Danio rerio: one gene and its partner. The protein of the gene in region 1 interacts with the protein of each later gene in a pairwise test. Links are inferred from orthologs where the notes say so. Each region holds a gene or a part of one and is shown on either strand. Other genes may lie near its edges.

The links.
Region 2: the proteins of mapk8ip1a (region 1) and lrp1ab interact in a two-hybrid assay, tested with the Homo sapiens proteins (2 studies listed by BioGRID). The link is inferred for Danio rerio from reciprocal best matches to the Homo sapiens genes MAPK8IP1 and LRP1.

What each region holds. Positions count from the first base shown.
Region 1 is NC_133200.1:14,768,448-14,778,388, forward strand, and holds the start of mapk8ip1a (C-Jun-amino-terminal kinase-interacting protein 1a), read right to left. Parts: upstream 5,054-9,941; 5' UTR 4,859-5,053; intron 1-4,858. UniProt on the Homo sapiens protein: The JNK-interacting protein (JIP) group of scaffold proteins selectively mediates JNK signaling by aggregating specific components of the MAPK cascade to form a functional JNK signaling module. Required for JNK activation in response to excitotoxic stress.
Region 2 is NC_133198.1:28,415,893-28,425,274, reverse strand, and holds part of lrp1ab (low-density lipoprotein receptor-related protein 1), read left to right. Parts: intron 1-451; coding exon 452-545; intron 546-627; coding exon 628-744; intron 745-833; coding exon 834-953; intron 954-1,047; coding exon 1,048-1,170; intron 1,171-1,569; coding exon 1,570-1,695; intron 1,696-3,365; coding exon 3,366-3,482; intron 3,483-5,184; coding exon 5,185-5,291; intron 5,292-6,608; coding exon 6,609-6,741; intron 6,742-6,836; coding exon 6,837-6,959; intron 6,960-9,382. UniProt on the Homo sapiens protein: Endocytic receptor involved in endocytosis and in phagocytosis of apoptotic cells. Required for early embryonic development. Involved in cellular lipid homeostasis.

The DNA of each region.
Region 1 (9,941 bases):
AACAGTGATGCTAAGATGCTAATTATCGCATAACAAAATGTTAAATAATAAATGCAGAATTTATTAGTGAAATAAAAAAAACACACTCAAAAAGATTAATTTTGGTTGCTTGTTTAAACTAATTTTTTAAAATGACCTGAAACAACACAATTCTTGAGATTTTTTGTGACAACTTAATTGTTTTAAGTTCAATGCACTTCAATTTGTTACATTAACTTCAATTTTTGTTGGGACGACATGAATGAATTGTGTGGAACCCTGCATTTTTTACAGTTTAGCTACTGCCATGCTAATTTTATTTTTAATGCTAATTTTGGCACAAAAATACTGTGAAATGATGAATGCAGGGTTTCTTTCTTCATTGTGGTTAGACTATGATATGTAGGATGAAAGTATGATCATTTTTAAATGGCTAAATGATGATGTCTAATTGTCTATGATAAACAGGGAGAACCTTTTAATTTCTCAGTGTCAGAGGCAATTACGCTAAACTACCCTATGAATGTAATAATGCTAATTATTGCATAAAAAAGGATGTGAAGTTACAATACTGTGATTTTGGTTTAATTTAAGACCATGATATCTATGATAAATATAATTTGTAAGTCAGTTTGGACTAAAGCATTTGCTAAATGACTAAATGTGATTATAAATAGACAGCCACTTGCAGCTGGATCTGACATATACAGAATTTTAGTTCAGTTAAAGGGATAGTTTACAGAAAAATACATATGCTGTTATTCTTATATTACATATAAGTTATTTAGTCATGCTTTGCTTTATCCAAACCAGCTGGTCTTTGTTTGTTTGTTTCTTTCATTGAACACAGAAGAAAATTATTTGAAGAAAGCTAAAAACCTGTAACCATTGACTTATTGTTTGTTTTTCCTATTATGGAAGTTAATGACAACAGTTAGGTTTTTTCCAGAATATCTTTTGTGTTCAACAGAAGAGAGAAACTCAAAAGGGTATAGAACCAGTTGGGGGTTTGTAAATAGTAAGTAATTTTTAACTTTAGGTTGAACTGTCCTTTTAAGCTAAACTGGGCGAAACAGTTCAAACATGTTATAATGCTGACTGTTGGATACAAACATTTGTGAAATCATAAAGGATTTTTGTTTAAGTTCAGATGAATAGACAACAATATCCATGACAATTCAGATGTGACTGAATTTGACATTTAACATTTACGTATAGGCTAATAATGCCAAATTTTAGCATAAACGTTAAAATGCTAATCAATGCATGAAAATATTGTGAATACTTACATAAAGTATTTTTGTTTAAGTGACTAAATGAAGAATTACACGATAAAAAGTCAGATGTGTTTGGCTTTGATAGAGGGAATATATAAACAGTATATATACAGTTGAAGTCAGAATTATTAGCCCCCTGAATTATTAGCCCCGTTTATTTTTCCCCCCGATTTCTGTTTAACAAAGAGAAGATTGTTTCAACACATTTCTAAACATAATAGTTTTATTAACTCATTTTTAATCACTGATTTATTTTATCTTTGCATTGATAATGACAGTAAATAATATTTGACTAGATATTTTTTAAGACACTTCTATACAGCTTAAAGTGACATTTAAAGGCTTAATTAGGTTAATTCGATTAACTAGGCAGGTTAGGGTAATTAGGCAAGTTATTGTATAACGATGGTTTGGTCTGTAGACTATATAAAAAAAGGTGAATTGGGTGAGCTAAATTGTCCGTAGTGTATGTGTGTTTGGATGTTTCCCAGAGATGGGTTGCGGCTGGAAGGGCATCCGCGGCGTAAAAACTTGCTGGATAAGTTGGCGGTTCATTCCGCTGTGGCGACCCCGGATTAATAAGAATGAATACTTTGAAAATTTCCTTGCTCTGTTAAACATTTGGAAAATATTTAAAAAAGAAAATAAATTCAAAGGAGGCAAATAATTCTGACTTCTACTGTATATATATTCAATTAAGCTAAACTACCTAGCTATCTTAGCATAAACGTAATTATGCTAATTAATGCATAAAAAGGTTGTGATATCATAAACATCTGATATCTTTTTTTAGAGGATAACATACATTAAAAACAGTCAGATGTGACTAGATTTGACAGAACATTTACGTATAAGCTAATAATGCCAAATTTTTGCGTAAATGTTGATGATAATAATGTTAATCACTGCATGAAAAGATTGTGAATTACTTATATAAAGTATTTATGTTTCAGTGGCTGAAATACACGATAAACAGTTAGATGTGAATGGTTTTGATTGAGAGAATTTATATTCAATTAAGCTAAACTATCTTAGCATAAACGTAATTATGCTAATTATTGCATAAATAGTTGTGAAAACATACATATTTTACTCATTTTTTTAAGATGATGCCTTCTAAAAATAGTCAGATGTTACTGGCTTTTTATGCTTAATTATGTTAAATCATAGCACAAACGTTATAATGATAATTGCTTCATAAAAAAGGAAGCGCAGCCATAAATAATGGCTTTTTCTTTCAGTTTAATTGGTTAGACAATGACATACATGAGAAACAGTCAGATGTGGCCAGCCTTGACATCCCCCTCAGTGTTGTTAACGCCTCATGCTAATTGACTGCTATGCTAATTGACACTGAACACGGAAAGCCTCCGGTGACCTCATGCTCATTCAAATTCATACAAATTCGGAAATAATCTCTACACATATTCAGACCGCAGTACATGGAAGCTAATGATGTGTCTTTGACCTAGAAATCTATTTTTGCTGTGGGGTAAACAGCTAGCTTCATTCAGTCCGAGAGCGTATGACTCTGCCTCATGGAAAGATAAGTGACTGTGTTGGTTTTTGGGTGGAGAGATGTAAACCACACATACACAATTTACTACTGATGTACTGCTGTTTCTGAATTAAGATAACTGTGATCAATGTAGTCTAACCATACGCATGTTGTTTACTGATATCCCTTTGTGTTTTAATAACGTTTAATTCACGGGGAACGATAGAAATGTCATAAAAGGGATTTCATTGCTAAAGTGACTTAGTTACTGACTCATCGTCATGTCGTTTTAAACTTGGATGACTTTGTTTTTGATATAACACAAAAGAAGATATTTTGCAGAATGTTCAAGCTGTTCTTTTATGTAACTTAAAAGCTATTGCAAAATTGACATTTTGATAACCAAATAAATCAAATAACAAATTCATTTACATTCTATATTAAAATTATTATGGACTATGTTAGGGCTGCACAATATATAGTTTCAGCATCGATATCGCAATGTGCGAATACACAATAATAATAACTATAATAATAATTCCTTACATTTACAGTATATAGCGCTTTACACAAAATTACTTTTTATAAATGTAATGCATCCCTGCCGAATAAAATAAATTTTAATCAAAATTTTTTTTTTTTTTCAAAATCCTGACCCAGAAATGACCTTGAATGCTACTGAAGTATAACTTATTTAAAATGTACAGATAAAGTCAGAATTATTAGCCCTCCTGAATTTTTAGCCCCCTTGTTTTTTTTTTCTCTGATTCCCGAGATTTTTTCAGCACATTTCTAAACATAATAGTTTTAATAACTCATTTCTAATAAATAACTGATTTATTTTACTTCTATACAGCTCAAAGTGACATTTAAAAGCTTAACTAGGTTAATAAGGTTAGCTAGGCAGATTAGGGTATTTAGGCAAGTTATTGTATAACGATTGTTTGTTCTGTAGATTATCGAAAAATAAAGCTTAAAGAGGCTAATAATTTTGACCCTTAAATGGTTTTAAATTTTTTTGAAATTTTCTAGCCAAAATAAAACAAATAAGACTTTCTCCAGAAGAAAAATATTATCAGACATACTGTGAAAAATTCCTTGCTCTGTTAAACATCATTTGGAAAATATATAAAAAAAATAAATAAAAAAATTCAAAGGGGGCTAAAAATTCTGACTTCAACTGTTAGAGTATGAATCAAAAGTAGCAATAAATCTAAATAGGTTCTGACTCCTGAAGCGCTCGGTCAGATAATGCAGTGAGCCATGAGTTCATCAGCCTATTGGAGATAAGCTACAGGACCAGAGCAGATGTTGATTAACTCTTATAGGCTTGTACAGGTGGTACTTTGGCACACTTCCCGAAATCATGGTAAGCCTGACACTACAAACCAGACTAAAGACCAAAACACTGAATCAGAATGGGAATAATTATGTTGGCTTGATATGACATCTCAACATGTGAAATACATTAAAACCTGCTAAAGCAAAACATGCTAAATACATGTTGGCTAATACTATGTAATAAGTAGTTGAAATAAGCATAAATGTCAGGGAAAAACATCTAAGAGGCCATTTTAAAACACATTTTAAAAGATGTTAAGATGTTAATAAAATATTATTGGTAACATTGTGCTAAATGAAGTATCAACATGTTAACGTAATATAAAACATTCTGTCGTAACATGCTTACAATTGTTATGTTAAAAAGTTAATATTATCAACAATATTTTATGTTAGCACAGTTTTGAAGTTATAACATGCTAGTTAACACAATGATAGCAATTCAAGCTAGCAAAATGTTAAAAATGTCTGCATGTTTGAAAGGTGTTGAAACACTGTACAAAACCGCATACTTTCACATTAAAACATACTAGCAACGTTTAATCATGCTGCTAATGTGCTAACACTACTGAATACCTTGGTATCACGTAAAACATGTCAAAAAACATGTCAAAACATTTTAACGTGAATTCATGTTAGCAAAAGGCTAAACATGTTAACTACCTTTAACGCTACAAAACATGTCAGCAACTTAATCAATTGGCCTACGATAGCCATGTGCTAACTAGAGAATTCTAAAAAGATAAAACTTTAATGTACTGACCTTATTTCATTAAAACTTTTCAAAGTTAGCCTATTAAACTCAGAGCAAGTTTTGTCAGGTCAATATTGACATATTTGTCATTAAACATAACTTATCTAATTTGTAATAATACTAACGTTACCTACTACAATAGCCGTTACTACAGCAACTGAAAACTCCAGGATAAAGAAAAAGTAATTAACAGATAGCAGAAAAAAAAGATATAATGTTAGGCTATAAATATATTTAATTAAATTTACTCAACACAAAAAGGCAAACATATTGCATAAGTATCCAAATAAAACCTTAATTAAATAATACATAAATATTAGGCCTATCGTTTTGTTGTATAAAGTTTACCTCACTGTCTTTATATAACAGATTCGTCATTTTTTGTATTTGACTTACTTGAGTGTCGAGGTCGAGATGGCCGAGTGTAATTCCGTTTTCATCCGTGATTTCAGTCACTTCAGACAGATCATCATCCTCATATTCATCCAGACTGATATCATGAGTCAACCTGAAGAGCGCCAACACACACTACGTCACGGTCATACTTCCACGAGACTATCACTAGACAATCACACACAATTGACTAATTATAACTTTAGGACCACTGTGCAAACACAAAACCCTCCTTTTCCCTAAATGCTTGAGTAAAACGCATTTTTTAGCCTGTAAATGACTAACGTCACTTTTTTCAAGCGGTCATTTAGAGCCGGTTTTTAGTCGTATGTATAACATAACAATAACACGATAATGAATAAAAACTTAAAAATAATTGTATGAATGCATATTTATAGACTTAATCCAAGAGGGAAATCATATTGGTCAGCATTATTATAAGATATTGCTTGGAAAGGAACATGGCTTCCCCGATATAAATATGTAATCCCAAACAAAGCAAAGGAAATCCATTTTAAAATTCTACACAAAACATACCAGGTCAATGCATTTATCTCAAAATTTACTGACATTGCAATTACTTGTTCTTTCTGTCAGGAAAATTAGCAAACTTTGACTCGCATGTTTTTTATTTGTAAAATCTCACAAAAGTTTTGGTCAGATCTATATTTGAATAAATCACAATCAACAAAACAAACCTTTAAATTGAAACCTATTATTTGTAGTCACAAGAAGAAAAAATAATGAATTTATATATATATATATATATATATATATATATATATATATATATATATATATATATATATATATATATATATATATATATATATAATCCTCTCCCTCATTTGCCCAATTTTTAATTGAAATTCATTCCTTGATTAAAGCTACGTTTATCTAACAACAAAAAATTATATATATATATATATATATATATATATATATATATATATATATATATATATATATATATATATATATATATATATATATATATATAATTATATATATATATATATATAATTATATATATATATGTGTGTGTGTGTGTGTGTGTGTGTGTGTGTGTGTGTGTGTGTGTGTGTGTGTAAATACATACACACAACAATATAATATATTCTTATTGAAATAGTTTATAAACACACAAGAACTATATGATAACACACAAAGAATACATATGAAAAATGAACATAGAATTCTGCTGCAAGAAAGCAGGACCAAAAACAAAAGTATTCTTTTAAAAACACTGCTTTGACTTGCTTAAGCACAATGACATTTTACCTAGCATTTATTGAAAAACTGTATTACTGTATCTATTAACATCAATCTACCTAACATTTTTTGTAAATCTGTATTCTGATAAATTCAGGTCTAAAAGCACTTAATTCACAGTACTTCCTGTAAATAGCCCAGTCGTCCACATTTTTCCGTATACCTCATGTAACAAAATCAGTCAAGCGATTGAACAAAACCACAAACACCTTTTTTTGTGCCACAAGAAAACTCAAAGCAAGTCTAATTTTAGATTAAAAACCTTCACATCACTCAGCTCTCCATTGGACATTGGAAGCTGATCCAAGGTCAGTTAAGGCAAAAACACTGCAGGTTAATAATAAAAATAAAGAGCTAATAGTGATCAATATGTGTTTCTGTAATTGAAATTATTTTGTATTTCAAGTTTTCTAAAATGTTTAAATATGCAAATGAAGCATTATTTTATTAGGTATGCACTAACTGGCAAACATTGAGCACAAAAACCTGATGAAGTCAGGTATAGCTTTACAAATAAACAAGTAAAATCTATTCTGAGGAAAATCATTCAGAAAAGCAGCCAGAAAAACAACAACTTAAATAACAATAATCTAAATATGTATGAATAAGCCCTTGGATAAAAAATAAAATAAAATAAAAAAACCTTCGGAATATAGATATAAATAAAACTGAGTCGTCTGGTGTGTTTAAGTGATGCTGAAATGGAAATATCATGTCTCAAAGCACAGCAAAATATCATTTGAAGACAACAACCTTCAAAAACACTAATCATAATGGAAAACTACAGACACAATTTGATAAAGCACGGCCAAAGAAAGCATTAAAGAGCACATTGAAGTTTTTTTTCCATTAAACCGAAAAAAAGAACTGAAATAAAGACTAAAAATCTGAAAACAGGAACATAAAACTGCTTTGCTTGCAGTGTCTCGCCTTAAGGCCGCATGTGTACTGTACCATTTCTCCCACTGCTCCTCCATCCAGCCGTCCCATTCCTCTCTGGAGTCCATGGCCAGGCTGAGCACCATCTGCGGAGCAGGGCGGGGTGCCACAAGACCCTTCCTGGGAAGCTAAACCGACTTCGCCACTTCAGGCTCTCCTGTCCAGCTCGCCAAAATTTACCGGAGGAATTTCATCAGCCACAGGACGTCCACAGTTGTGCTCTGCGTCCTTCGGTGGAACCATTAAAGTCACTGAAGTGGAGAGAGAGGAAGAGAGAGAGGGCGAGAGAGGCGTAGTCTCTTCTAAAAGGGTCTGCCATCCTCGTGATTGAAAGCCCAGATCAATGCGGCTCAAGTTGCCACCTCCACACAAGTGCAGGCCGAGAGAGATGCCTGCTGGGAATCGATGCCATTGATAACGGATGAAAATATCTGGAAGGCTGATGCGTGAGATGTACGCTGGTTGATTAAAAGTTCATCAGGAACTGCTGAGAAATGGTGTTAATTAGATCGAGGTGTTCTAGAATGTGAGGAGTTAACTTAAATTGGTGGGTTGCAGATAGATCAAAGGGGGGGGGGGGGGGGACAAAACAAAATCACTAAAACCAAATAAATAAATTTAAAACAGATTTAAAAATTTTTTTAAAGAATAAAAAAAAGATGATTTCAAAAGATGAAAAAAAGATGACTTGTTCAAACTACTTAGAATTTAAAATAAGCTAAAATAACATTTCTTGAGATTTTTTGGGGCACATCTTAATTGATTTATGTTCAATAGACTTAAATATAGAGTTAACTTAATCGATTTGTGTTGGGACAACATGAATGAATTGTGGGAACCTATTTCTTAGACTGTAAATTTAAAATTTAAAAATGATTTCGAAAACAATAACATGGATAAAAGGTAATTAAAAAAAGGCCAAGAAATAAAACAAACAACTACAAAACCTAAAGTGCAAATAAAGATCAAAACAAATAATCAAAAGTGAACCAAACATGAAAAGCCGGATTCAACTTAAAAGCCATAAAAAAATAAACAAGAAAATCATAATAAAAATACTAAAAAAGGACAAAGGATGTCACGGAAAACAATAGCAACAACTAAAATAAGTCTGAAAGCCTCTTGTGATGCTGATTATTATTAAAGCAAACCCACTAAATCCTATTAATCATATCCGCATTTGGCCAAGAACATCAGCCATACGGCTTCTTGTTTTTGTCTTACAAAGGACATGTGTTATTGACTTGGAGGAGATCCGTTTCATTGTGGGATTCGGCAGAAGATGGAAGGATGAAGAGAGAGAGAGATAGAGAGACAGAAGAGCCAGAGATAAGAGTCTCTGTATGGCCATTATACGCTGTATAAGAGCAGACATTAGCTGACCTGCACAGGAACTGAGAGCTTTTGCTTCATTAGAGCAGATCCCACAGGACGCCCTGCAAACAGCAGCTCTATTGCATTACTACAGCGCTAGACTGAGATAAACACAATCCAGAGGCTCTGATCGCTTATACAACACGTGGACTGATGGCGCATGACAGATTTGAGGACTGTGAGAAAACAGTCACTGATTCAAGATAACTTTTTTTGTCCCTAGAGGATTTATTTTAGTTAAGAGATCACAAAATATATGGTATAGATTAAAGGAACACTCAATTTTTGTAAATAGGCTCAATCTACAGGTCTTCTAATGTTATGCAGTTGTGTTTTTCTATTTTTTAATCAATACAGAGAATTTCTGGGTCTGGCGGGAGCACTGTTAGCTTAGCATAAATCAAGAAATTGGATTAGACCATTAGCATCTGGCTCAAAGGTCAATATATATATATATATATATATATATATATATATATATATATATATATATATATATATATATATATATAATATTCTTATTCAAAGCTAGATTCAAATTATATCTAAGACAGACAAACATATATATATATAGACAAACATATAAAAACATTCTAGTGTTAAGCCAATGTGTTTTACCATTTGGTGTGGTGGGAGCACTTTTAGCTTAGCATAAATCACTGAATTGGATTAGACCATTAGCATCTTAATGAAACGTCAAAAAAAACAACAAGATTTTTGATAATATTCTTATTTAAAGCTGGACTCAAGTAATATTTAAGACAGACGGAAAATTAAAAGTTATTTTATAGGTCCATATGGCTAGAAACTTAGAAACTATTCTAATAATAATAATAATATTTATATATATAGATATACGTACACATGCATACACACACACACACACACACACACACACACACACACACACACACACACACACACACACACACACACACACATATATATATATATATATATATATATATATATATATATATATATATATATATAGAATAGTGGTCTGTTTTGTACTGTTCAAAACTGTATTCTTATTTTACAAGTGTTAAGCCATTGTGTTTTACCATTTAGTCAGGCGGGAGCATTTTTAACTTGGCATAAATAATAGAATCGG
Region 2 (9,382 bases), on another chromosome or scaffold:
ACGAGAATCACAAGACTGATTCTAATCCCCATAGACAGGAAATAATAAAGTAGTGACTGCAGGCTGAAGGAAAGTAGTGGAGTAAAAGTACTAATACTGCACTAAAAATGTACTCAAGGGAAAGTAAAAGTAAACATTAACTACTTAGTAAATTAAAAGTTCTAAAAAAAAAACTACTCAATTACAGTAGTTTGGGTATTTTACACTACTGCTTTTGGCTGCTTTTAATGAAAAAAAAAACTAAATACATGGATCTGCAAACTTGTGTTAAAGTTATTAGAGAAAGTGCCAACAGGCTTAATAAATACATTTAAATATTGGGTTTTACTTGAAAATGAAAGTCTTAAATGTCCAGGAATATATATTTATGTGGAATATGACCTGCATATGTTCTTGTCAGTGATCACTCCTCTGACTGTCTGTTTCTCTATCTCTCCTTTTCTGACCATAGTTTGTCTGTAAGAATGATAAGTGCATTCCCTTCTGGTGGAAGTGTGATACTGAGGATGACTGTGGAGATCGCTCAGACGAGCCAGCTGATTGTCGTAAGTGTATTTTCCGTAAATAATAAAAGAGAGAAAGTTTCAGACAAACACACCATCCTCATGCTCGTGTTCTTGTGTCCAGCTGAATTTAAATGCAGACCAGGTCAGTTCCAGTGCGGCACGGGTCTTTGCACAAACCCTGCTTACATCTGTGACGGAGACAATGACTGTCAAGACAACTCTGATGAGGCCAACTGTGGTATGATTACCAGCCTGTTGAGTGGAACTAAATGTATTAACTTACTTGATTCCGTTTGCTATATGAATACCCTCTCTTTTGTCATTCAGACATCCATGTTTGCCTGCCCAGCCAATTCAAGTGTTCACATCCTAGTCGCTGTATTCCTGGAATCCTGCGCTGTAACGGACAGAACAACTGCGGTCAGGGAGAAGATGAGAAGGACTGTCGTAAGTCTGCTTATTGGTTAAACTTGATTGTTATGAGTTTCACCAGTGTTTTCCAATGTGCTGATTGGCTGAGTGTTTCTGTGATCTCTTTTAGCGGAGGTGACCTGCGCTCCTAACCAGTTCCAGTGTGCCATCACCAAACGCTGTATACCCCGAGTCTGGGTGTGCGATAGAGACTACGACTGTGTGGATGAGTCTGATGAACCAGCCAACTGCAGTAAGTCCCACATACTGTAGTTCCACTTAAAATAGTTTTGACATTTAGGGCATAACACTTTAATTTCTGTTTGTTTTTTGTCTCCATATTTAATTCTTTTTACTTTTCTGAAAATATAAAGGATTGTTGTGAAGTGCAGGAAGCTAATTTCCTTTTGTTTCAGACAGCTGATAGTTTGAATTATACTCTAAAATGTTGCTTATATCCTTATTTGCTTTTATTTTTGTTATTGTTTTTAACAATGCAATTTTGTCACAGTGTGACTTTTTTCCAGGAAATATTATATATAGCATAATAAGCAAACATTTGAGCATGTTAAATGATTCCTAGAGGAAAAACCAAATCAGTATAACATGCACATAACAGCTGTTTCTGTTTTTTTTTCTTTTCTTTTTACAGCTCAGATGAAGTGTGGTGTAGATGAGTTCCGCTGTAAAGACTCAGGCCGCTGTATCCCGTCTCGCTGGACATGTGATGGAGAGGACGACTGCGGCGACGCCTCTGATGAACCCAAAGAGGAGTGCGGTATGACTGACTTTTTCTTTATTCCTTTCATTTATGCCTTTTTATTAATTCTACATTTATCCATTTTCCTCTTTCTCATTAAAATATTTTATTATTTTTTTAATGTATTGTTATTCAATTAATAATAATAAATATTTAATATGTAATCAGTGTTATGTGTACTTATTTTGAAAGTATCTAGTTACTTTAATTAGATTACTTTTCCAATGAAAAAGCAAATTAAGGGTTTATTTTTAATTTTAAGGTTATTTAATTGCAGTTACTTATAATGTATTAACTACTGCAAATAAATTAATCACTTCTGTATGAAATAACTCACTTTAAAACAGTGTAATGGGATATTTTGTTGTTTTTAGTTCGATATTTAGCATAATAACTCAATGGAGGTTAGATTAATCTGACTATTGCACTTGCTTAATGGTGCAATATGTAAGTTTGACACCCAGTTGTTGAACTAGGACTTGCATTTCTGGATCAAACAGCCAAATTGCTCATCACTGCAAATCCATCACGTAGCGTGTTGTTAGGACACGGGGTTAAAATATAACCTGCTCACCTAATGTTTACGTTAGTAATATTTATAATTTTTGCTAATAAATAACCTTATGTGGAACTCTGAATCTGCGTCTAATTTCGGAGTCTGCTACTGTCCACTGGAGGTCACATTTCAGTCACGGGTGCATGCTTCGAGAGTCGTTCTAAATGAATGAATGAAATACGCGATTTTCCAACAAGGCAACCCAGGGTGCTGAAATATAATTGTATAAACTGCCATTGGGTGGGTTTAAAGAACCAAAACAAAGACAGCAGCACAGAACGCCCATTTTAAAAAGCAGAATATTGACTTCAGCATTGTTTTTCAGATAAACAAGAATGTTCACCTGGCACGTTTCTTAAATATTTGCAAACATATTATGGTATTTTTATGCTTCAGAAGAGTCAAAAACGTACATACAGCACCTTTAAAGTGAAAAATAAAAATGTGCTTACTATTTAATCCACTCAAGTGGTTCCAAACCTTTGAGTTTCTTTCTTTGGTTACACACAAAGAAAGCTGAAAACCTGTAACCATTGACTTCCATCGTATTTGCTTTTCCTTCTATGGAAGTCAATGGTTACAGGTTTCCAACAGTCTTCAAAATATCTTCACTTGTGTTCAACAGAAGAGAAAAACTCAAGTAAAGGGTGAGTAAATGGTGACAGAATTATTATTTTTTTGTGAACAAGCCATTTAAGAAATTGTAATATATTCTATTTATGAAATATGGTGTCATTATACTGGATGTTTTTTTTTGTTTTGATACATAATGTTTTTAAAAAATTTATGTGAGTTTTTAAAATAAAACTAAGAATCTGGTTTGATTCAAATTTAAAGAATTAAAATAATCTTTATTGTGTATGCATTGAGAATTATATATTTTTAAATAGTATTGGGTGAACTAATTAAATTACTTTTCAGGAAAAGTAATTAGAAACGTAACTTCAATACAATTGTAATGATGTAAATAGTAATTAATTACTTTTTTGAAGTAACTTTAACCCAACACTGTGTGTAATGATAAAAATACAGAAGTCATTTATGTTTGATCCTCTTTAGTATGTTTTATTTTATAATTAGTAAACTGTTTATTTAGATAAAACTGATTAATCATTTGTTTTTCTTATGGCAGATGAGAGAACATGTGAGCCTTACCAGTTCCGCTGTAAGAACAACCGCTGTGTGCCGGGCCGCTGGCAGTGTGATTATGATAATGACTGTGGCGATAACTCAGATGAGGAGAAGTGTGGTACGTATCTCAACAGACAGACTGACTTTAGCATTCCTGCTCACCTTAATGCACCTGAGACTGCATGTACCACTACTGTACACGCACAACGCTGAATCTAGCAGCTTCCTATTATTTGTGCCCGTTACATTTGTCTGTGGGAGGCATTGTGGGTATTTTGTCCGGTGTCATAGCTCACCCATGTTGCTCACTGCTGCATCTCACTTCATGTTGTCTCTATTCTTCATTTCACACTGACCCATTGGCTTGACTCAGAGGTAGGTCTCCAACCCCTTCAAACCTCTCCTCTCTTCTCCTCATTTCCCCATGCTTTCATTTGTGTTTTTGACAGAAGTGGCACAGCTTCTGCCCTCTAGTGGCGAAATTGTAGAGTTCATTTTTCCTTCTTTAAATTAAATACAGTGACGCTTTTAGCAGTTAACATGCTAATATTGTTAGATTTTTCCTACATTTAGATTTTTTTTTTTTTATATATTAACAAACATATAGTTTACAATTTTACATAAAAATATTGGTAACGCTTTGCAGTAAGGTTGTATTGCTTAATATATTAGCTAATGTATTTACTGGCTTGAATAAACAGTAAACAATAGGTTTATTACAGTATTAATTTGATTTGTCAACGTTAGTAATTGAAAATGAAGTTGGATTTTTATAATGTTTTAGTACAGGGGTTCCCAAACTTTTCAGTCCGCGACCCCCAAAATGACAATGCCAGTGACTCACGACCCCCAATATCCTCCCAAGTCTATTCTTCGTTTTTATTTTTTTGTCACAGCTATGAATGTGCCAGAAAGTTTAACCTGGTGTTATAAAATCAATCTGCTGCATCTGACACTTTTGCTTTCTTTAATATAATGTAATTACCCCAGGGGTCGCAATCCAATAGTAACTATAAGCTACTATAGTAACTATATAGTAAATGGTAACTATAAACAACATTTTTTTTTCTCTTCAGTAGGTTATGTATAAAATATAGTAATTCCTATGGTTTAGAAAAAATAAATAGATTTTTGGAAATCACCAGGCGACCCCCCCCTTCATTGTCCCGCGACACCCACTTTGAGAAACATGGCTTTAGTAACTGTTGAACTATAATGATTAAACGTTGTACAAGTATTGTTCATTCTTAGTTTATGTTAGTACATACATGAACTAACATTAAGTAATGAAAAATGATTGTAAAGTGTCATAAAAAATGTCAAAGAGGTTATTCCAAATTTATAATAAAATACACACATACACATGTATTTATTAAATATGTGAAATATATTGAATATATTTATAAAATGTATACATTTACTTCAACACTATATATGAAATTGAATGAAGTACAGTTCTTAAAGACGTATATTTTGTGTGTATGTTTCACTGCACTCAATTAGTAGTGTAATTTACATACATTTCTAAATCTCTATACATGTAAACACAAGTAACTTGGAAGTTATTAAAGTAAAAAAGGTATGTCACAAAAATGATCATCAGGTTTGGGATCTCTGAATTTGATTATTAGATGTACAGTATGTGTTAAAAGTGTTTCCTTTTGCCCTCACTCTTTAAGCTTTACTATAGCCCTTGTCTTAAAATGTGTCCCTTTCTTTCCTCTTATGTTTTCCTTGCAGTCACCATAGTGTATTGCTGGCACATACAGAATGTCTATGTTCAGTTTCAACATTTACTTGTCTTGTTCTGTCTCTGTCAGTGCCGCGTCAGTGCTCAGAGAGTGAGTTTGCCTGCTCTAATGGCCGCTGTATTGCTGGAAGGTGGAAGTGTGATGGAGATCATGACTGCTCAGATGGATCTGATGAGGTACTGCAGTTCATTACCTCCCTTCACCACCTGTAATGCAAATTGTGTGTAGCCAATTGAAGAAGTGCAATAATCGATGGACCACTTAATCAAATCTTCACTTAACTGCAACAATTCTCCATTCAACCATGAGTTTCTGCTAAATCTAATCATTTGTTAAAACATCCTGAAAGCACTGGATTTTGTAATCGCACCAATATGAATTATATAATTTTTATATTCTATTACTTATAAATTCTATTTAATTTAGTCTCTTCTATTTGCCTTTTGATCTAGGTGTATGTAAACAAATATAACACATTCATGAATATTAATTTATTTGTAAAATTGTAGGATATTAATGAGCTACTTATGTTTATCTAGCATCCCAAGATACTCTCCATTATTATATTATATTACACACACACACACACACACACACACACACACACACACACACACACACACACACACACACACACACACACACACACACACACACACACACACACACATATATATATATGTGTGTGTGTGTGTGTGTGTGTGTGTGTGTGTGTGTGTGTGTATATATATATATATATATATATATATATATACACACACACACATTTATTTATATATATATATGCGTGTGTGTGTGTGTATATAAATAAATATATATATTTATATATATATTTATATATATATTTATATATATATATATATATATATATAACAAATTGATTGCATTTACATTCCATTCACTTTACTGTGATTACAATTACTCAATGTGTCTACTAAATGAGTTATTGGCTGTTAATTGCTCTGTATGGATATTATTATAGTTACAACCCGACCATACTGCAGTGTAATACTATAATTTTAACAATTTGCTTCACATAATACCTATTAATTATTCATTTATTTTTACCTGTTTTAATTATTCATTTATTTTTACCTATTATGTATTTGTAGTACATTTTAAACTTATATGTAAGTTATATAAATTAGATTGACACCTAAATTGTACATACTAGTGATGTTTCAGTTTGTAATTGTAGTTTTTAATACCACAATAAAAATCCTACCTGAACTAAACATTTTTAAGGACAAATAAATGAGTATAATTTAAGGACAAATAAACATTCTGTATTAAAAATTAAAACTAAATTGCAGAAATTGCTGTGATCGTATGCTGTATCCCTAATCAAACATATTTTGTAATGCTTTATTTATTGAATTAAATATTTTGAATGTGTTAAATTTTATTGTTTTTATTTAACACCATGTGTTATGTTAAGTGATATTACATGACAGTATAATATATGAATCTTTATTTCTGTGTGTGTCTGTTAGGATGGCTGTGATCTGAAGTGTGAGGAGGATCAGTTTCAGTGTAAGAATGGTCACTGTATTCCGCTCCCCTGGCGTTGTGATGCTGATGTGGACTGCCTTGATGGCAGTGATGAAGAGCGCTGTGAGATTACTGGTATGCGTGTCTGTTTATTGCAGGCTTATACATGTGTATTCTTGTTAAGATTGGTCTAATGGATTGATCTGATTTTTCTACTCCTGCTCTCTCAGAGGTGCGGCACTGCTCCAGTGAGGAGTTCCAGTGTAATAACACTCTGTGTAAACCACTGTCCTGGAAGTGTGATGGAGAGGATGATTGTGGAGATAATTCAGATGAGAACCCTGAGGCATGCAGTAAGTATACACACACACATACACGCACACACACACACGTTTGTTTTTATAAAAAGTGGGGACATTACATAGGTTTCCATACATTTTATACATCACAAACCGTATATTATATTGCCCTCACCTTGACTTACCCCTAAACCTAACCATCACAGGAGACTGTGTGCAGCTTTACTCTCTGATTAAACTCATCCTGTGGGATTTATAAGCATTTTGAGAAATGAGGACATCACCAATGTCCTCACATTTTCCTCCTTTTTGTAATACCTGTGTCATACCTATGTCATTATACAGATTAGTGTCCTGATATGTCACAAAACACGTAGACAAACACACATACACAAACACACACACACACTCAACAAAAAGAGATTGGGGAAATTTGGCTTTTCTTATAGTGTTTGTTTTAGTCTATTGTAAAAAAAATCATCCAGAATTTACATTTAACTGTTACATTTGTCAAACATTATCCATTTGTATCTGTAGATTTCAATAACAATGTATATTTTTAATAAAAGCATTTTAATTTAGGAGCATTTACTTCATTTACACCACACTTCATGGTTATATTCATATTTATATTTTGAAGGCTTTGACAGAGGAACATGCTCATGCATAATTTGCCTGAATATATACATTTAATTCTACAAAGTAATTGTGAAAATCATTTTGACTTTAATATGTCCAAAAAAGTTTAAACCAAACCTTTTTGCATGCTTTATGATGTAGTTGCTTGTTTGCATATTTAAATATAGCATTTCAGAGAATGATATACATCAGAATGTTTGTAATTCTTAATGTAATCAATAGTGAAGTATAATGGTATTTATTTATTTTTTTTATTTACCTGCCGGTATCTGTAGTTTATTAAACTTTCGCCGTTTGCTAGTTAATTTATGTAGGAAATTTTAAATAGTGTGTTAAAATAGGATTTCTGGTAACACTTGATTTTTTTGTCACAATTCACTATTAACATATTAAAGGTGCAGAAGGTGATCTGCCACAATGCTAGCCTGTTAGCATAAATCTCTAAAACACCGTCCCTCCCCTGCCGTCCAAAGCCACGCCACCTGAAAACACAAGCGCACGAACCTTAATGAAGATGACAGCAGAACCCTCTCTCATGTGTTGAGCTAAAGCTTGGCCGGCGTCGTGCAGGAATTACACTCATTATTACACTCAATTCTAAGCTGTACTTACATGCTACTTCTGACCGAATATTCAGAGTAGCGGTAAACACCATAGGAAGCGCGTCGCACGTTGTCAATGTTCAAAAATTAACCAATATGAATATAAAACCATCTTAAGCTAAGTAAAGTAGGCTAGGCGGAATAGCGTTATTTACTGATGTTCTGTTGTTAAACTAAATAAAATCTACATTATTAATGCTGTAAAAGGCCTTTATGAAACAGAAAATAGTCACATCAATCTTACACCAGAAGATTTCAGTGGCTAAACTACACTTCTGTGCCTATAACTCAGTCATAACAACCCAGTCTACATCAGCTCTGCGTGACAAAAATAGTTTCAAATCATAACATTACCTGTCCAAGAGAAATACTTGAGCCATGGTGTCGTCCTTCCTCCAGCATGCGAAAGTAACTCCAATATTGATTCAAGATTTTTAAAAAGTTTCGATTCAGCATGTTTTTACTGCTCGCTCTCTCTCTACCACTCTCGTGAACGCGCATGCACGTGTGTCCACAAATGGAAGAGCTGCGTACAAACAGGTGCGCAGTAACTTAAATTTGCATTTGCTGACAGACAGTTTGAGCTCCGTATCAGAATTATGGGAGATGTCAGCTCGACATTTAAATTGGACAAACATTTTTTAGTCTTATGCCTTAACCAGAATATAAAAATACATAAAAATACATTTAGATCACTTACTTTAATCAGTACTATTTGAATGTGAAGAGACTTTCAGCCAGCACAACAAAAAATGTTTCTGAAGGCAGTCACCTACTGCACCTTTAATTAACAGTCCTAGCTTAATAAACTAGTAATTAGCTTTTTATTAATAGTTATTAAGGTAGAAGTTGGGTTTTAGGTATTTGGTAGGATTAGGGATGCAGAACAAGATTATACTTCACTTAACTTCTAATGAACAGTTAATATCTTAATAGTAGGTAAGTTATAAGTAGGCCTACATGGAAACACGCAGATTTATAGCCCAAGTCTATTTATTTGCTTGTGTAAATGTGTTTAAATTTATATTTATTCAGCATTTAAATTATTTTAGTAATATTATTGACATATGAAAGTGTTATAAAGTAATATTTTCTAGTTTTCAGTAGATATTATACAAGAGACTTGCTTAGTTTTCAAAATAAGTGGATCTACTGTAGATGGATTTGCATTGTAAATATTAAATACAATTTAAAAGCTTTTATTTAGAAAATTTCATATATTAAGTTTTAATTTAC